Linked DNA regions of Cricetulus griseus. The protein of the gene in region 4 interacts with the protein of the main gene of each other region in a pairwise test. Links are inferred from orthologs where the notes say so. Each region holds a gene or a part of one and is shown on either strand. Other genes may lie near its edges. The genes, in order: homeobox protein Hox-B9, Syt17, Utp25 and Mid2.

Region 1 (4,272 bases), on a different chromosome or scaffold from region 4:
GCCCTTTAAGGGGATAGAGCTAAACTACCAGAGCATCTCCAAAGCTTCCACTGCCCCAGGCAGGCTCACAGCCTTTTTCTACTTGTATCCAAACAAACCTGGACTCAGGTCAGTATAGCTGAAGCCACACTACCGGCTAAAAGTGGCTGACCTTGGCTCTAGGTCTGGGAGGAAAGGGGAAGAATTGGGTTGACAAGGGAGTCCTGTTCAGCCACAGCCAAGAGATCTCTTGGCCCTTCAGCTCAGTCCCAGGAAACCCTGCCCAGATAGCCATCTCTCAGCTCTAGGCCAGGAGGCAGCAGACATGTGAGTTCTGAATAGATACCCCCTCCCCATCGCACACCACAAATAAGAGTTCACATTTACAGCCAGGAACACCCAGCACACTCCCAACTCACAAGAAACCCAATTGCAACCATTTATCAATTGCAGCCAGTGGACAGGGGAGCCCCGGGGCTCCCAGATAACTTATGGTGGCAATAGCCTCTTCCTTTCTGCTGCTCAGCTCAGAGTTCGGTTAACACAAGTTCAGGGAAACTGGGAAGCAAAATTGCTCCAGCCCCAAGGTGGGGAGACAGAGCTGAGGAGGAGTAACAGAAAGTCCTTTAGGCTTAACAAGCCTTCTAACTGACCCTGAGGGGAGACAAGAGAAGAGGGGCAAAATCAGGAAATAATGTATACAGGCTTTTCTTTTTTCTCTTTCGCATCTCTCCCTGGACCCCAGGACACAGAAAAGTTGCTCCCCAAAAGCGGAGCCTATTACAAGTAAGATCCCCCTCTACCAGCTTCTCCCTCCCCAAGTGAAAAGCCCTGAATGTCTGTGTGTATTTTAAAATTCAGTTCATCCTACACTAAGTAGCGTGTCTTACCAATTTGCAGCGCTATTTTCTTAATGTGATTGCCTGGGATGGGACCCGAAGCCACATTAAATATGAAAGAGGGGGGGAAACTGTTAATAATTGATCCTAGCCAAACGGCTGCTGTGCAATAATGGGCTTTCCAGGCCGAGTTTGGGGCCATGGGGTGAGGGCTCTGTTTGGGTGTTTGCAGGAGGTTTGGGAAGAGCTGTGTTCCCGGATATCAGCTCCTAATGACTCAACCTGGCAGGTTGGAGGTATGGGGATTGCAAAGGCCTGGGGCGGGGAGGGGGGTGCAGAGTCTCTCCTTACTTTTCAGAGGGCAAGCATGCCCCCAGAGGACCCATTGGCTACTCTTTTGGTGGGAAATCTGACAAGGCAAGCAAGAACTAAACTACTTGTCCAAAGGAGTAAGTGGTGAGGAGTTGACCTGTCAATCTGTCCATAATTGTTTGGGAACTAAGAGCCCCCAACCGGTTTGTTTTTCCCACCTTTAAAAAAACGACAAGTAAAAGAATCCTCTCAGCCAGCATCGCTTTCCGCACGGGGTTTTTAGCAAGGGTGCTTTTAGGAATGGGAGGTGGTAAGAAACTCTCCGCTAAGGGTAGAGTTCTCCGCCCCTGCGCAGTCTCCCCCCACCCCTCCCCCGGGTCCCTTCGGGACGTCTTCTTTTCCATTCTGGAGGTGGGCCCTGACTTTAGCAAGTGATTCCCAGACTCTCTGAGAGGCAGACTGTCCCCGGCTAGTGCTCCAGAGCCCCGCGGAGGGGGTTGGGAAACGCAGAGGCAGAAGCGGCCACCCTGGCGAGGATGCCCTAGGAGGGCGGGGGATCCTGGAAGGAAGGCTCCCGGGGAGGGGCCGGCGCACCCGGGAGGGGGCTCGGTCACCGCATCCTGGGCTTCCCCCGCCCCTCCCGGCGCCGGCTGCCGACCCGACACGGCTACTGCGTGAGATCTGCTAGGAACAATCCTCAGCCAAGCTGTTGCATCGCAAATAAAATCCTAATGAGCCCCCTCCCCCTTCCCCTTGGCCGGCGGGGACCGTCTGCGCGTGGCTCAGGCGGCTCTGCCGGGTGCGCTCCGGCCCGTGCCCGCGAGGGCTCTGGGCCACGCTGGCCACCGGCCCGGCCCCCTCGCTCCTCAAGCAACTGTCGCAGCTCTCTTTCCCCCTTTCCAGCCGAAGGGGGAGAAAGGAGGAAGGACTAGAGGATTGATCCCTGAGGCTCAGTCCAGGCGCCACTAGGAGGAGTAGGGGTGGCCTCCTTGTCCCCCTCCATGGCACACAGCTTCTTCCTACCCAGGTCCCTTCCTTCCTCTTCCTCCACCCCCTCTAGCCCTGCAGCCCCCGGCGCGCTGTCCCTCCACATTGTCCGCTTTATGGCTTCTCTCCTCCCCTCCCCCGGGCCTGGCCTGCAGCCTGGGGGGGGATTTCCTCACTTTTTTTTTTTTTTTTATAACTTACTTTGATCCGGCCTCTCTTTGTCCTCGCTTCCTTCGCAAATTTTATTGTCCCCGTAGCCGGCTCTTTGATTAGACAGGACAGCCTCCCTGCCCGCCGAAGTTTCCAAACTGTACTCGGGCGTGCCCTGTTTGAGCAGCTCCCCCGGCGCGCCCAGCAGCGGCTCCGCCTTCACCGCCGCCTGGCCCTGCCCCGGGGTGGCCTCGGCGCGCGGCGCCGGCTCCAGCCAGGTGCGGAGGTACCTGCTCTCTGCCGCCGGCGCGCCCTGGGGCTGCAGGTAGGGGTGGTAGACGGACGGCAGGCTCCCCGACGCGTGCGGGCTCAGCGGCGCCCAGGAGGCGCCGAACACCGGCGCTTTGGGCTGGAAGCTGCACGAGGGGAAGTCCAGGTGCTCGGCGTGGCTCGGCTGCCGCGGGTTCGCGTACTGGCCTGAAGGAAACTTGGCTGGAGGCGCGTCCTCACTCTCGTGACTTATGATCGAGTCGACATAATAGCTGCTAAGCGTCCCAGAAATGGACATTCTCAGACATTATCCGCGCGCTCGCAGGGGGAAGGGAAGCGCTCGCGCCTCGGCGCCCAAGCAGGGAGAGGTGGCACACGGACCCGGTGTAGAGGGCTTTCGGACGCGACCCCCCCAGACCCCCACCCTCCCACCCCACCCCCTGCTCAACTTCTCAGCCAACAAAGTACAGTGGAGCAGCCCGGCTCGGAGCTCCTTGCAAAATGATTGGTCAAAGTTTTGCGGACTGCCTGATAAAGCGTCAGCTCCGACATAAATCAATCGGGCGAGGGGGCTGCGCTCGCGCTGTCATCCGTCCTCACCGCATTCCATATCCAGGATGGATTGTTTTATGCTGATGCAATGTGCTATCACGTCAGGGCTCCGGCGGCCACGTAACCTCAGCCAGAGCTGCCGGGCCGCCCGGGGCCCCTCCCGCTTTTGCAGGAAGGGGGGTTCTCAACATGGGGCGATGGGGGCGGAGGAGAGGCGGAGGCAAGCAGCGGGCTTGCCTCTGGAGGGATGATGGCTGCGGAGCCCTCTCCCCAGGCGGGTTAGAAAGGGAGGGGAGGAGGACCAGCATACTGGGAGAGAGAGCGCCCCAGCCTCAGAGCAGCGGGAGAGGCCCGACAGGGTAATTAAAGAGGAGGTAGTCTTGTCATCCCCCAACACCTCCACCTCCACCCCGCAGGCCCTCATTTCCTGTCCTCTGTCCCCTTGACAGAGATGTTTATTAAACAACAGCAGCACAGCGACCCACAGGAGAGAAAGTAAAGGGGTGGGGAAGAAGTTGGGGGTTTTATAGGACAGTTATCCTCTTTGGAGGGGAATCAGGGCACAATTTGGGGAGATTTACATGACTAGGCTCTTCTCTTGATCCTCCAGGAGCTCAGGGAGGAGAAAGGGAATTTCAGTGGAACCAATGTCCAAAGACTCACTATCTGGCCTGAAATTAGAGCCTGCCTCAGGCCAAAGGGACTAGCCAGACCCCGTAGCTAGTCTACGAAAGAGTTTCACGGGACTAACCAGTCTTATTTAACTCCCTGACATTTCTTGGGCCTTTATGAAGGGTTGGGTCCACGGCCATTTCTTCTGTCCTTCGTCCAGAATCCTCTGAGACCGTAAAACTGTCCAGATGAGGAGGCCAATGTGAGAAATGATTAAAGGAGCTCTCCAGAGGTAGGGAGAGGGTCCCCAAACAGCACAGTAAGCGACACCCGGTTACTTTCCTTTTCCATCCAAAAAGGGAAGGAGGCAAGCTAAATTCTTAGTACTTGTCCAGCTCTGGAAGATGTCCAAATGCCGACATAGGGCAGTACCAAGTACAGCGGAGTCCCCAGAACCAGTCCGTGTCCCCCACCCGCAGCCTTCCCCCCTACAATCCTCTGGTGGAGCTTCCAAATAGTGCATTTTATTAGCAGCTATTCTGCGGCCCTGCGGCCCTGCGCAGGGACTCCC
Region 2 (4,080 bases), on a different chromosome or scaffold from region 4:
TCCCAAATGCTAGATTTTTCCTTGTGTGCATTACATACTTAATTACTTCCATATTCCTTTACTCATTTATCTCCCCTGGAGGCTAGGCTGGGCAGAAATTTGATCCCATTTTTATTGGTGAAAAGATCGGGACGCCAAGAGGTTGAAATGACAACTCGATGAGTTGGTGAGCAGCGACACCAGCTGCCAGTGATGGAAAATAGAAACTCGAGGAGGGCCCCGTTCTACCTCAAATCCCTAGCGGGAGGCTTGCACCAACCTCAGTGGCCTTGCAGCGGAGACCCTGGGCTGGGAGATGTGCTGGCAATCTTCCAGTGCTGGGGTTCAGCCCCGCGGGCTGGCAGGCGAAGCAGACCGGCAGCGACAGGTCCTGGACACTGGGATCCCAGTTGCCCTCGAGCCGTCACGCCCCGGGCGCAGCCGGACGCTGGGTGGCGCTGCGCGGCCGCCCTGCCCCAGACCTGTTGCGTCCTGGGCTCCAGCCGAGATGGTTAGGGTAAAGGGTCCCACACAGAGCCGAGCGAGGATAACAGTTCCCCTGCCTCAGCACTGTCCTGGGGACTGCCAGGTCCACCTTAAATAGGTGGCGCCTGCCATTCAGCTTCTACACACTCCCCAGCCCGGTTCTAGGCGCGTCGTGTGCGGCTGGCATAAAACTTTAGCCAAGCAGCTTGGGGAGAGGGAAGGATGAAGCGGACCTTCCAACTCCAGACCCCACAGTGTGCTGCGCGGTGTCACCTCAGCCTCTCAGGCGCCCCGGAAGCCCTGCTGTCGATCAGGCAGTGGATCGGTACCACTCTAGTGCCTGCCGGCGGCGCTGACCGGGGCACCGCCTCCGCCCACCCCTTCGCGGTCCCCATCCCCTCCCCCGCCTCCCGCGCTTGGGCCCCAGCGTCGCCAGCCCCGCCTGCTCCGGGGTCGCCGCAGTTCCCGCGGCTCGCCCGGGACTTCCTGGCCAGGAGCCCGCTTCATTGCAACCCGGGAGCGCCCCAAGGTGTGGGTGTGGGTGCTGGTCCACCAGAAGCTGAAGCCGGGGACCTCGGGGCATCCCGGTTCTGCGCTCCAGGGAGGCGGCCCCGCAGAGCTGGGCAAGGACGGGGCGGCCGGTGGAGGGGCGGGCACCGCTCATCAGTCACGCCAGTCACGTCTGGGGCCACCCGGCCGCCCACTGGTGTCTTGCCGGCTGGCTGTGCCACCTCGCCGGGCCGGCGAGGGCAAAGGGGCTGTGGCGACGCCATGCCCGGGCCGGAGTGAGTGAGCGCGGGCGAAGATGGCGTACATCCAGGTAGGACTGTGGCTGGGGGCGACCGCCAGGGGATAGTGGGGACCGCGCCCCCTCTGCCGGGAGCGCGCGACGCAGGAGTGCGCACCCGCCGGCTCCCACAAACTTACTGGAGGAAAAAAAAAAACCCACAAAAAACAACAAAACAACGGGTTCCCCAGAGCAGGCACCTGTGCGTGTCCTGGAGCCTGGGCAGGGGACCACAGACCCGATATGGAGGGCCCTGCGTGGGGCCTGCATCCTCGCACTCGTCTCCTTGGAAGGGGAGACCGTAGGGTGACTTTGCACGCCCCCCCGTCCCCCCAGCACCCACCCCAGGGGAGGGGCCGCGGGAGGGCGGCCCGGGGCGCGCCAGCCACCCGGCCCGCCAGCGCCCGTTGCCGTGGTGACGGCTCCGGCTAATTGGCCGGTGGAGCCAGCTGGAGGCAGCTGTTCAGACCTGGAGGGACAAGGACATCGTTCGCCCCGGCACTGGGTGCAGAGGGGTGGGGACATCCAGAGACCAGTGCCCTCTGATGAGGGCTGTGGAGACAGTTACTTCAGTCCATTGAGGTCTGAGAAGTGCAGACACACATACACACACCACACACACACACACACACACACACACACACACACACACACACACACACACACACACACACACAGAGACCACCCCCAAGACTCAGACGGAGAGAATTTCCAAGTACCCCCTATCTCCCCCCCACACACACACCTTTGGAGGGGGCGGATGGGGATGGACTGTTCTGCTTGGCAAAGAAAACCGTTTCTTTTGCAAATTGCAAAGTGGTGACAGGTCATCGCCAAGGTCACGCGGTCAGACCAGTAAATAGATACCAGGAGCTGCGGGGGGTTCTAGGGCTGCCTGCTCTTAGCCAGAGAGGAAGCCAGCAGACTGGATCCCAGGTCCAGGGACTCATCTTCCCTCTCCCAGCCTTAGCTGGGGGCGGAGGGCGGGGGGGGCGGGGGGCGGGGGACGACTGCAGACCCTCTAGGGCTCTCCTGATCTCTTGTCCCCAGCTCCTCCAATGGTCTGTCACCTGGTGGAACTTGACCACCAGGTCCTCCTCTGGCTTTGATCCCCAGGAATGGTTTGCAAATTTTTCATGGATTGCCTAGGTCCTGATTTCAAGTTCAATGAAGGTCACATTTACTGTACATCTACTGTGTCTTGGAAGTTGTTGGAATACTGTTCAATAGTTGCTTAACGACACCAGAATGACAGCAATTATGGAACATCCCTGAGGACATAGGTCACAGTCCCTTCCCCTCTGATGTCCAAGGGAGTGAGCAGAGAACAGTGAAACAAGTTTTTATGGTTCTTCATCGAATTAATACATTTTCTTTTTCTGAGACAGGCTCTCACTATATAGCCAGGTTAGCCTTGTGATTCTCCTGCCGCTGTCTTCTGAGTGCTGGGATTACAGTGGTAGGTCACTCACTGCTCAGCTACCTAAAACCATATTTCAGCACAGAGAAGTAAAGTCACTTGTCAAGGTCACACAGCTATTTAGCAGTCACAGTGGTATCTGAACTGTAGGCTAGGAGGGGATGTATAAGTTGTGCATCTCAATGGTTCTGCTTCCCTCTTAGAAGCAGTCTTTGAACTTCTACAGAACACAGAGACTAATTTTTTTTCTTCTGCCTCAACTTTTCAATAGGGAAAACAGTACTAAGGCAAGCACAGAGGGAGGTCAGAGTGGGCATGGCTATGAACCCACAAAGCTTATTTGTTTTGGTCAATGAGTTTCAGAGACTTTCTGAAAGTCAGGAAATAGTCGTCTGTGATGTTTTGCAGCCATTTAAAAAAATACACAAATCCACTGGGTCGTGGTTGCCAACGCTTTTATTCCCAGCACTCTGGAGGCAGAGGTAGGTGGATCTCTGTGAGTTCAGGCCAGCCTGGTCTACAGAGATAGTTTCAGGACAGCCAGTTGACACACAGAGAAACACTGTCTTGAAAAACCAAAAACCAAACAAAACAGGAATCCTTTGCTTGAGGACTGGGTAGTGGCCCACCATGGGGCTGTGAGCCGGGAGTCTGCTGACCTCTGTGTGCCATGCCTGGGGTTTTCTCTTTATGCTTCCTGGTGGGAATCAGTTCTCCACTGGTATCAGAAGAGTGAGCCCAGAGGATGGAGTGAGGCAGGATGAGGCCCTGACTGCGGGCCTCCTTTCCCATTCCCTTTGCCCCTGTCGTGGGTTGCTCCTGGGCCACCATGTCTTACCTGGGCTTTGAGAAACTGTGCATTCCTCTGGCACCTTTTCTTCTCGCCATGGCTATATAAAAGGCCCTGAGAACACACCTGTACATTGCTAGGATGCCACAGGTGCTTGGAAAGCATTGTTTTGCATTAAACTTTTCATTTTGTGGTGACTGGGGGAACCTGGAGGACTAGGGAGGACTGCACATCTCAGGGCATGTGTGACAGTGAGAAAACAGCTCTGGGAGTCACTTCTCTCCTTCCACCATGTGGGTCCTTGGGATTTAACCCAGGTCATTGGGTTTGATGGCTGGCAAGCACCTTTACCTACAGAACTGTCTTACCAGCCCTCAGTTGTTTGTTTGGCTTTTTTTTTTTTCTTTTTAGACAAGGTCTTGCTGTGTAGTCCAAGCTGGCCTCCCTTCACCACCCCCCTTCCTCAGCCTCCTGAGGCCAGGATGATGGGTCTATGCTCAATTTATAGCAAACATCTTCAAGCCGTTTCTCATGCCAGCCCCATGAGGGCAGAGTTTTTATGGCTTGAACTTGCCAGGGTGGTTCTTGATGCCCAGGAGGCATAACCTTGTCTCAGAA
Region 3 (3,561 bases), on a different chromosome or scaffold from region 4:
TGACTTTCATAGGCACCAGGCATGCATGTGGTAAATACACATACATGCTGGCAGAACACTCATACACATAAAATTAAATAAATCTAAAAATAAATGCAGCAAGTTTCTGCTGAGTAGAAAATCAGAAGATGCTTAGCAAAGAGCTAATTTCTAACTACCCACCATTCTTGTTCAAGTAAGAAACTCAACAGTGTAACTCTAGTCAAACCCGGAGATTCCTATCACAAGTTAGGGCAATCTGCCTGATTCTCCTACAGTGCACAACAGAGACAGACAGCCTCAATGTCATGTCCATGCGCCTGAGGCAGCCTCCTAGAAATGTAACCAGCTGGCCAAAACAGTAAGTAATTTGCCCTGTGCCGGTCCAAGATTTAAAAGGCTAGATTACTGTCCTGTTGGTGACACTAAGTAAGTGTCCACACTTCATTCCCCAGCTATTAAACAAGAGGCCAGACTGAAAAATCCTTTAAAAGCCATAACTGTATCTACTCCCTTGAGACCTGTAGAGCTCAGTAAGCGTCTAAAAGCATGAGCCTCTTCCAGGAGATGGGGGAGCAAGTCAAAGAACAAGGCCTGGCTCCCCTCGAGGCATCACGAAAGACAAGATGAGGACAGAAGTAAATCCATTTCCTTTCTTGATAGAACCTCAAACATGCCAGAGATCAGGCTAAGAGCACAAGCAAACACAGTCATCCCTTTAAGCATTAGGAACGTCACAACAAAAACGGGTGTCTGTGGCTTGGTGAAGAGCCCAATTCTAGTCCATCTCTGTTAACCTTTCCCCCATTCTCTTTAGCTGGACCTTCTGTGAATCTGGGTCTGCCCATAGCTGTCACCTATAAGGACTAAATAAAAAACTCACTAGGGTGCCAGTAAGCCAAAAGTCACCAGGAAGAGACCACCCCCAATGGGGTGCTTAAATAAATGTGTTTCAGGTTCACTGCTGACAGCATCTGAAGCCCCTGCACTGCCTGGCTTGCTCAACAGTTCATATGAGGATTCTCTAACCAGTCAACTGTCCACACGCTCATGACTCAGCAGTGCCTCACAGCCTCCTTGAGGACAAAGCTCTCCTGCTGCCGCCACTCACCTTAGGCCTGGTTAGCCCTTGGTCCCTGAAGTCATCATCCTCACCCACCCCAAGTTTCTGGCTCCGGCGCCTACTGTTGTTAGCTAACACTTGGGCATTCGCTTTGAGGACGTGGTTTATGGCATGCAGGCAGTACACATGGCGGACCTCTTCTCCATTCTTCAGGGCAGTCCGCTCTGGGTAGAACAGGTCCCGGTAAGAATTCATAATTAAGAACAGCTCTTTCTGGAGCGGGGTAAAGGGGCTATTTGATTGTTGAGGACCAGATAGGAATTGGCTATTGGTTTTTTTCCAGGTGGATTCTAGAGGCTTCTGAAGATGAAGTGACTTCATGTCAACATCCTTCGGAGGTTTAAATGTTTCCATCTTCTGGAACTTTGATGAAAAGACAAGCTGTCCCAGGACGGGCCACTAGGGGTAGACAGATTGAGAGCTAAGTTAGGCATGATTAACAACCCGACACTCACAGGGTACTTGATGATTCACAGACTAGCCCGGAGCCTGACTTCATACCTGAGCTCTGTCTCTAGTGTTTCCTTCATATTCTGAGGGTCATGTCTGGGAACAATGAAAATTCCTTGGCAATGTGCTACAGTACAAGGTGTGATACTAAAGGCTCTACTTGTCTCAGTCCTGATCCCTCCCCCCCTCCCCCCCTCCCTCCCTCCCTCCCTTAGTCTCCACTGCTCCCTTTCTCCCTATTCCTTTTTAGATATGCCCAGTCAAGCAATGCTACTTTGTGAGACACATGTTTAGAAATTCTTCACTGTAGAAAACTTGCTGATCTAAAATTACAGCAACTTCAACAACAAAAGAAAGGAGCCACAGACAGCCGAGCAGCCTGGGTGACTCTCCAGGGAGCTGTGCTGAATGAAGCAGCTGGTGGCTAAAGTCCCACCCTGGGTGACTCCAGTTACTCAACTGTGAACTGACGAGCTCCCAGAAACAGAGATGAGCTCAGGAGGTTAAGGATTTAGGAGTGAGGAATGTGAACGGAAGTGTGTAAGGTAAAAAGGAGCAACAGAGCCAGGCATGGTGGCGCACACCTTCAATCCCAGTACTGGGGAGGCAGAGGTAGACAGATCTCTTCTGGTGATTTGAGGCCAGCCTGGTCTACATACCAAGTTCCAGGCCTGCCAGGACTACATAGTGAGACCCAGTTGATAAGACACACAGTGCTGGTGTTCCACACCCTACTGCGCTAGTGGAAATGAGATCCTATAAGAAGTACAACACTGTACACAGGACCCGAGTCCAGGGATGCAAGGCCAGGGTAAGCAGAGTACTTAGCCCTGCATGCATGAGTTAGTTCCAAGCAGCAATAAATGGCATCTATGTCCACTTTCTGGTTGTGATACTGTACTGTACTCTGCTATCTGCTACCGGTTGTGTGTGTATGTGTGTGTGTGTGGGTGTGTGTTACACCTGCACATGTATCTGCAAAGTCAAAAAAAGGGAAAGTGAAGTAGACCTTGTATGGCATCACATCCATAAATAACCCCAACACTTGGGAGGCTGAGGCCAGAGGAGAGACACAAGCCCAACGTCTGACAAAATGAAACTCCCTATGAATAATATATGCCAATAAACCAAAGACCACAGTTTCTTCGGGGTTTCCCTCCGTGCCTGGAAAACCAAACAGCACTTACTTTTAGTTGCTGGGTAGTTGGAGGGCTTGAAGTGGCAGCTTGGACCTCCTTTTCTTTCAGTTCTTTGTTGACATGTTGTTGAAATGGATCTAATTCAGAACAGAGCAGTGAGCACAGGGAACAATGCAGGGCTTTCTAGTCTGAGAGTGATGGACTCGTGTCCCATCACCTCTGAAAATGACACGTTCACCTCTAGTCCCTGATGAGACCAACATGCTGATCTTCCTGGCAACGAAAGCTTAGTAAAGAGCGCCTGGCAAGCTGAACACAACATCCCAGCCTGAAGCCTCACCTCAAGTTCAAGCCTTGGCCGCTGCACTTGAACCCATCTCTTCTGTGATTTCTGAACTACACAGCCGAAAGTTCTGCTTCTGAGTCTTTCCCTTTACACCAAAAATCCTCTCACCTGCATGCTACTCCTTCACAGAAAGGTGCCTTGTGGGGGTCGACCGTGCCAGGCACAGCACTGGCTCCAGGCAGAGGTTAGAGCTGGCTCCCCTTTGACATCACATTCTAGTCCTTACCATGCCACACCAATTCAAACAAGCCAGCACAAGTTCCTGTCCATCTGGCACATGGCAAGATTCCTGAGGGCAGGCTCCATGCGTTCTGCACAGCAAAGGAAGGCTGGGGCAAGATGAGCCACTCTCACCTTGGGACGTTCTCTGGGAGGAGCTGCTGCCTCCACTGTCCTCTTCCAGAAAATTGGTTTCCAGGCTGAACAGGGACTCGTGTTTTGCATCTGTGAACTCCTCCGAGGATTTCTGTGACGCATCGGCCGGCTCTTCGCCATCTTTTTCTTTGGAGACATCAGCTAGGGAC
Region 4 (4,039 bases):
TCGCCCATTCCCAACTGTGTTGATTGTGCATTCTATTGTGTAGGTGTTAGGTGCTATGTAGTCTCATATGTCATTTGCTTTTGTTGTCTGTGTTTTGGGTATGACGCATTAACTTTAAGATCTCTCAGCCCTGTACTTCCCTTAAGGTAGCATGGTTGGGTTTTTCCCCTTCATTTCCACTCCATAGTTCTCTAGCACACTGTTTAACAGTGCTGTTGGGTGACTGCTATTGGTTCCCTGACAAGACACACCCAGCAACCTTCATTTTTTTTCTGGATTTGTTCCCAAGCACAGTAATAGGAGGCTCATGTGATTGCTTTCCTCTTCTCTCTTTTTGAGTGGAGTTTAAAGCAGTATCCTCTGGGGCAGCTTCCTTCTCTCATCCACCTTAAGAGGGGCAGTGGTCTTTGAGTCAATAGTAAATAGGCTGACTCCAGACCAATGGGAGGCTCCTGGGTTCCAAATGGACCAATCTTCTTAATAGGGACCTAGCATTCTTGGATGACTAGCTTCTGCCTCTTTGACCTTCTGTTAATGACCATCTTGTCTTGTTTGTCAAGTGTCTGAAGGTGCAAAAGAAACCTTTACTCCCCCATACACTTTCAGTGGCTTTAATCCACCCGAACAACTTGTGGCCAAGGCCAATAGAACACAGCCACTCTCCCTTTGTAAAAAGAGAAAGGGGTTGGGTTTCCTTCAATTGTCTGTCCTTCTCTATCTCTTCCATGCCTCTCTAGTTTTACTCTCTAGTTAACTTTGCATAGTACAATAGTACAGCTTCATCAGGAGGACCTGTGCGGAGGTTCCAGGCAGACTCTTCTCATTGGCGGGTGCCTTTTCCTTGCTAATCTGGGGGTTTGTGGAGGTAGTGGGTGGTGGGTGGGAGAAGAGTTTGGCCATAGTCTTCCCTCTGCACTTCACACACACTACCCGCTCGCAGACGCACGCATACTACACACACACACACACACACACACACACACACACACACACACACACACACACACACACACACACACACACGCCTGCTCAGACCCCTTTTCCCTGTGTCTTCCATCAAGATGACAGGGCGCTGGAGAAAAGGCTGCTGGAATCAGCTGGTAGGTACAGTAGTAATCTGAACCCCACCCACCCGCTGCCTTTGCTTGCTCAGGTTTCTCCGGTCACTCCTGCCGGGGGAGAAAACATGTAAGCGCGCCTCCAGAGGAGGGGCACGGGGAGCTGGGAGTGGCGGGGGCGGAGGAAGGTGAGCCTAGGAAGGTGGCCCAGCGCCCCTTCTGCGCGGGCCCCTCCCAGTGCTCCCTTGGGGGTGTCAGCTTCGGCTCCGCTTGCCCCCACTCCACCCTCCTTTCGAAGGGATTGCTTTTTTTTTTTTCCTCTGCGGCGGCGGAAATGACAGTGTGGTGCTGCGGTGGTGTCATGGTGCTGCCTCTGGACTGAGAGGCGAAAACTCTCAAGTTTCGCCCGGGAGACCCAGACGCGGGAACGTCGCGGTCTCCGTGCTGTCCCCTGTGGGGCGCGCGGGCTGGCGGATCCCGGCTGCTGCGCGGCGGTGGCGGCGGCGGCCGCAGCGGCGAAGGCAGGCGGCGGCCTAGAGTGGTGGTGGCGGCGGCGGCAGCGACAGCGGCCCGGGAGCTCGCACGGGAGCCCAAGCCAGCTTGCTGCGGAGGCCAGCGAGCGGCCGACGCTCCCAGGCGCGTGTAGGACATGGCTGGCACCCGAGAACAATATGGGTAAAAAAATGCGTCCCCTCGTCGCGGCCCTTGGGTGGGTGGGGGGGTCGAGTGTCGCCGCCCGCGCAGGGCTCGGCCCCGGCTCCGGTTGCTCTTCAGGTGCCAGCGTTGGCCGAGGATACCCGGGCTCGGCGGGAAGGGGAGGGGGGGAGACAGGGTCCGCGAGGCTCCAGGCGGCAGTAGCGGGGCCCGCGGTGTCTGTCACACTGTGGTGACCCGGGTTCCTGCCACTGCCCTCGTGCGAAGGAGTTTGCACTCCTGGATCCCAGGCGGGGAACGGCCCGAGGCCTCCCGCTTGGCCAGGCCCAGCCGGGAGAAAGCAGTGGAGCGGCTCTCCTGGCGCCCAGGCGCAAGTCTGGGAAAGGGCGCAGCCGCCTTCCCACGCTCCCGCAATCCACGGCGTCCTCGGCCCGGGCGGCGCCCCGTGGTCGGCGGTTTGCTCAGCGGTGCTGGCGCAGCAGCCTGTGATGCTGCGGACACCCAGCCGGCGGGAACCCGGGAGAAACTTAATCCCCCCTTTTCGCTGGAGGAAGCAAGGGATCCTCAAGTCTCTGTCTGGGTGGTTCCTTATTTCTGGCCTAGCTGTGAAAGCAGCGCCGTGGGGGGGGGGGGGAGAAGGAAAACTTGAGGGTGTCCACAGGACACACTGCTACTGAAGCAGGAACATTTGAGGCTTTTCCCATTTCGGGCTCGTAAGAATTAAGTAACGGCAGGCAGATTTACTGTAACACTACTGGCCATGAGCTGGCTTAGGTTATTTCGCACTTCACGTGCAGCACATTATTTATTTATTTAGTTTGGAGGCATTTCTATTTCGAGCAGGCAATTAGGATCCTGAGATGATGGGACTCCTCACTTTCCACTCTCTTGGCACTCCTTATGCACTGACACTAGTATGCCTCTTATTCCTGCCTCACAACATTTGTCCACCCACGTCTCTCCCCAGAGTCCCCGCACTCTCGGCTTTTCTCTACCAACCTGTGCACATCATCCAGCAACGCACCTTCTTGCTTTTCAATCACTTTGCTTTTTTTCTTTTTTGGAAGATTTTGTAGGGTGGGGCCGGTGAATGGCAGTTGTGTGTCTCCGAGGGGGAGTATTTATGAAGGAAAACCCTGGAAATTGTAATAATAGACAACTGTTGTGTGGGGATTAATTAATCCGATTTTCAAATTGGACCATAAGGGCTGACTTTAATTCGATTCTACTTCCTCTCCGAAATCGAATCAACTCTGACAGAATTCCAACAGGAGAAGGGGTTGCCAAATAGAGAGTTTATATTTCTCACTTCTGCTTATGGAGCCTCTGCTATACCCTGGCTTAGCACCTCACCACACACACACACCTTTTTACCTCCCCACTCATCACTGCCCTGAGGGAGAGTCAGTTTTTGTTATTTTTATATATTCCTGCTCAATTAACTTAATACAGACTCATAATGTGAATTAAATTTCTCTTGATTGTTCCTTACAAAACTTGATTCATGTGGTTGAAACACAAGTCTTGGAGCCAAGATCAGAGAGTCCATTGCAAATGTGATGTTGCATTGGCTTTATGGCCTTTAGACATTTGTATGACCTTTCTTTGACAGTTGCTGCCCTTGCATAAAAGGCATAATATTATGCACTGGGTATTGTGAGTATTGGCTTGGTCCTTTGAAGATAAAAGGATTCTATAAACCTCAGCATTATATTTTTCAATGAAAGCACTTCATTTATCCTTTATTGGGTTACTGGGTTGACTGGGTATAAATGGGAACACTAATTTACAGAAACCTTAATTTGCCATTATTAGTCCCCCTGGGATCCAAATCATTATTGTAATTTAGATCTTAAGTCAATTTGTTTCACCAAATGTATGTGTAGCTGAATGGAAACATACACAATTAGACATAGAAAGTAATGGTGATGATTTTAAGTCGAGTCATAAATCATATTGATTGCACTCTAACCTAACAATCTGAGTCAGACTCATTTGAATACACAACCTCACCCATTTTTAGCTAACATGGGGGCAGTTACTTAATGCCCAATAAAAAGTGGCATAGTTTTAGGTCTGGCTAGCCAAGCATGATTAGCACCTTGCAGCAGTGAGTCAATATTTTTTTAAAGAACCTTTAATATACAGAGGCCTCTGCTGATTGTGTTGAGGCCCTAGACTTGTCTCAGTATTTTGGGTTCATATTTGTGTTATGCTGAACTCTGCTTCCATCTCCAAGGCTAGGATGGGGCGGGGGAGTGTAATGTGTGGAGTAGAAAGAGCGGTTATGGACCATGAAGGGCTCTCTCTCTTCTATTTACTTTCAT

Evidence for each region.
Region 1: the proteins of Mid2 (region 4) and homeobox protein Hox-B9 interact in binary tests that used the Homo sapiens proteins (3 or more experiments, as listed by UniProt). The two-hybrid records come from large-scale screens. The link is inferred for Cricetulus griseus from reciprocal best matches to the Homo sapiens genes MID2 and HOXB9.
Region 2: the proteins of Mid2 (region 4) and Syt17 interact in binary tests that used the Homo sapiens proteins (3 or more experiments, as listed by UniProt). The two-hybrid records come from large-scale screens. The link is inferred for Cricetulus griseus from reciprocal best matches to the Homo sapiens genes MID2 and SYT17.
Region 3: the proteins of Mid2 (region 4) and Utp25 interact in binary tests that used the Homo sapiens proteins (3 or more experiments, as listed by UniProt). The link is inferred for Cricetulus griseus from reciprocal best matches to the Homo sapiens genes MID2 and UTP25.

Annotation. Positions count from the first base shown.
Region 1 is NC_048600.1:109,428,820-109,433,091, reverse strand, and holds the start of homeobox protein Hox-B9, read right to left. Parts: upstream 2,836-4,272; coding exon 2,319-2,835; intron 1-2,318. UniProt on the Homo sapiens protein: Sequence-specific transcription factor which is part of a developmental regulatory system that provides cells with specific positional identities on the anterior-posterior axis.
Region 2 is NC_048596.1:82,172,085-82,176,164, forward strand, and holds the start of Syt17 (synaptotagmin-17), read left to right. Parts: upstream 1-1,270; coding exon 1,271-1,285; intron 1,286-4,080. UniProt on the Homo sapiens protein: Plays a role in dendrite formation by melanocytes.
Region 3 is NC_048598.1:2,106,704-2,110,264, reverse strand, and holds part of Utp25 (digestive organ expansion factor homolog), read right to left. Parts: coding exon 3,392-3,561; intron 2,829-3,391; coding exon 2,740-2,828; intron 1,502-2,739; coding exon 1,091-1,501; intron 1-1,090. UniProt on the Homo sapiens protein: Component of the ribosomal small subunit processome for the biogenesis of ribosomes, functions in pre-ribosomal RNA (pre-rRNA) processing. Essential for embryonic development in part through the regulation of p53 pathway.
Region 4 is NC_048604.1:39,661,743-39,665,781, reverse strand, and holds the start of Mid2 (probable E3 ubiquitin-protein ligase MID2), read left to right. Parts: upstream 1-1,232; 5' UTR 1,233-1,729; coding exon 1,730-1,733; intron 1,734-4,039. UniProt on the Homo sapiens protein: E3 ubiquitin ligase that plays a role in microtubule stabilization. Mediates the 'Lys-48'-linked polyubiquitination of LRRK2 to drive its localization to microtubules and its proteasomal degradation in neurons.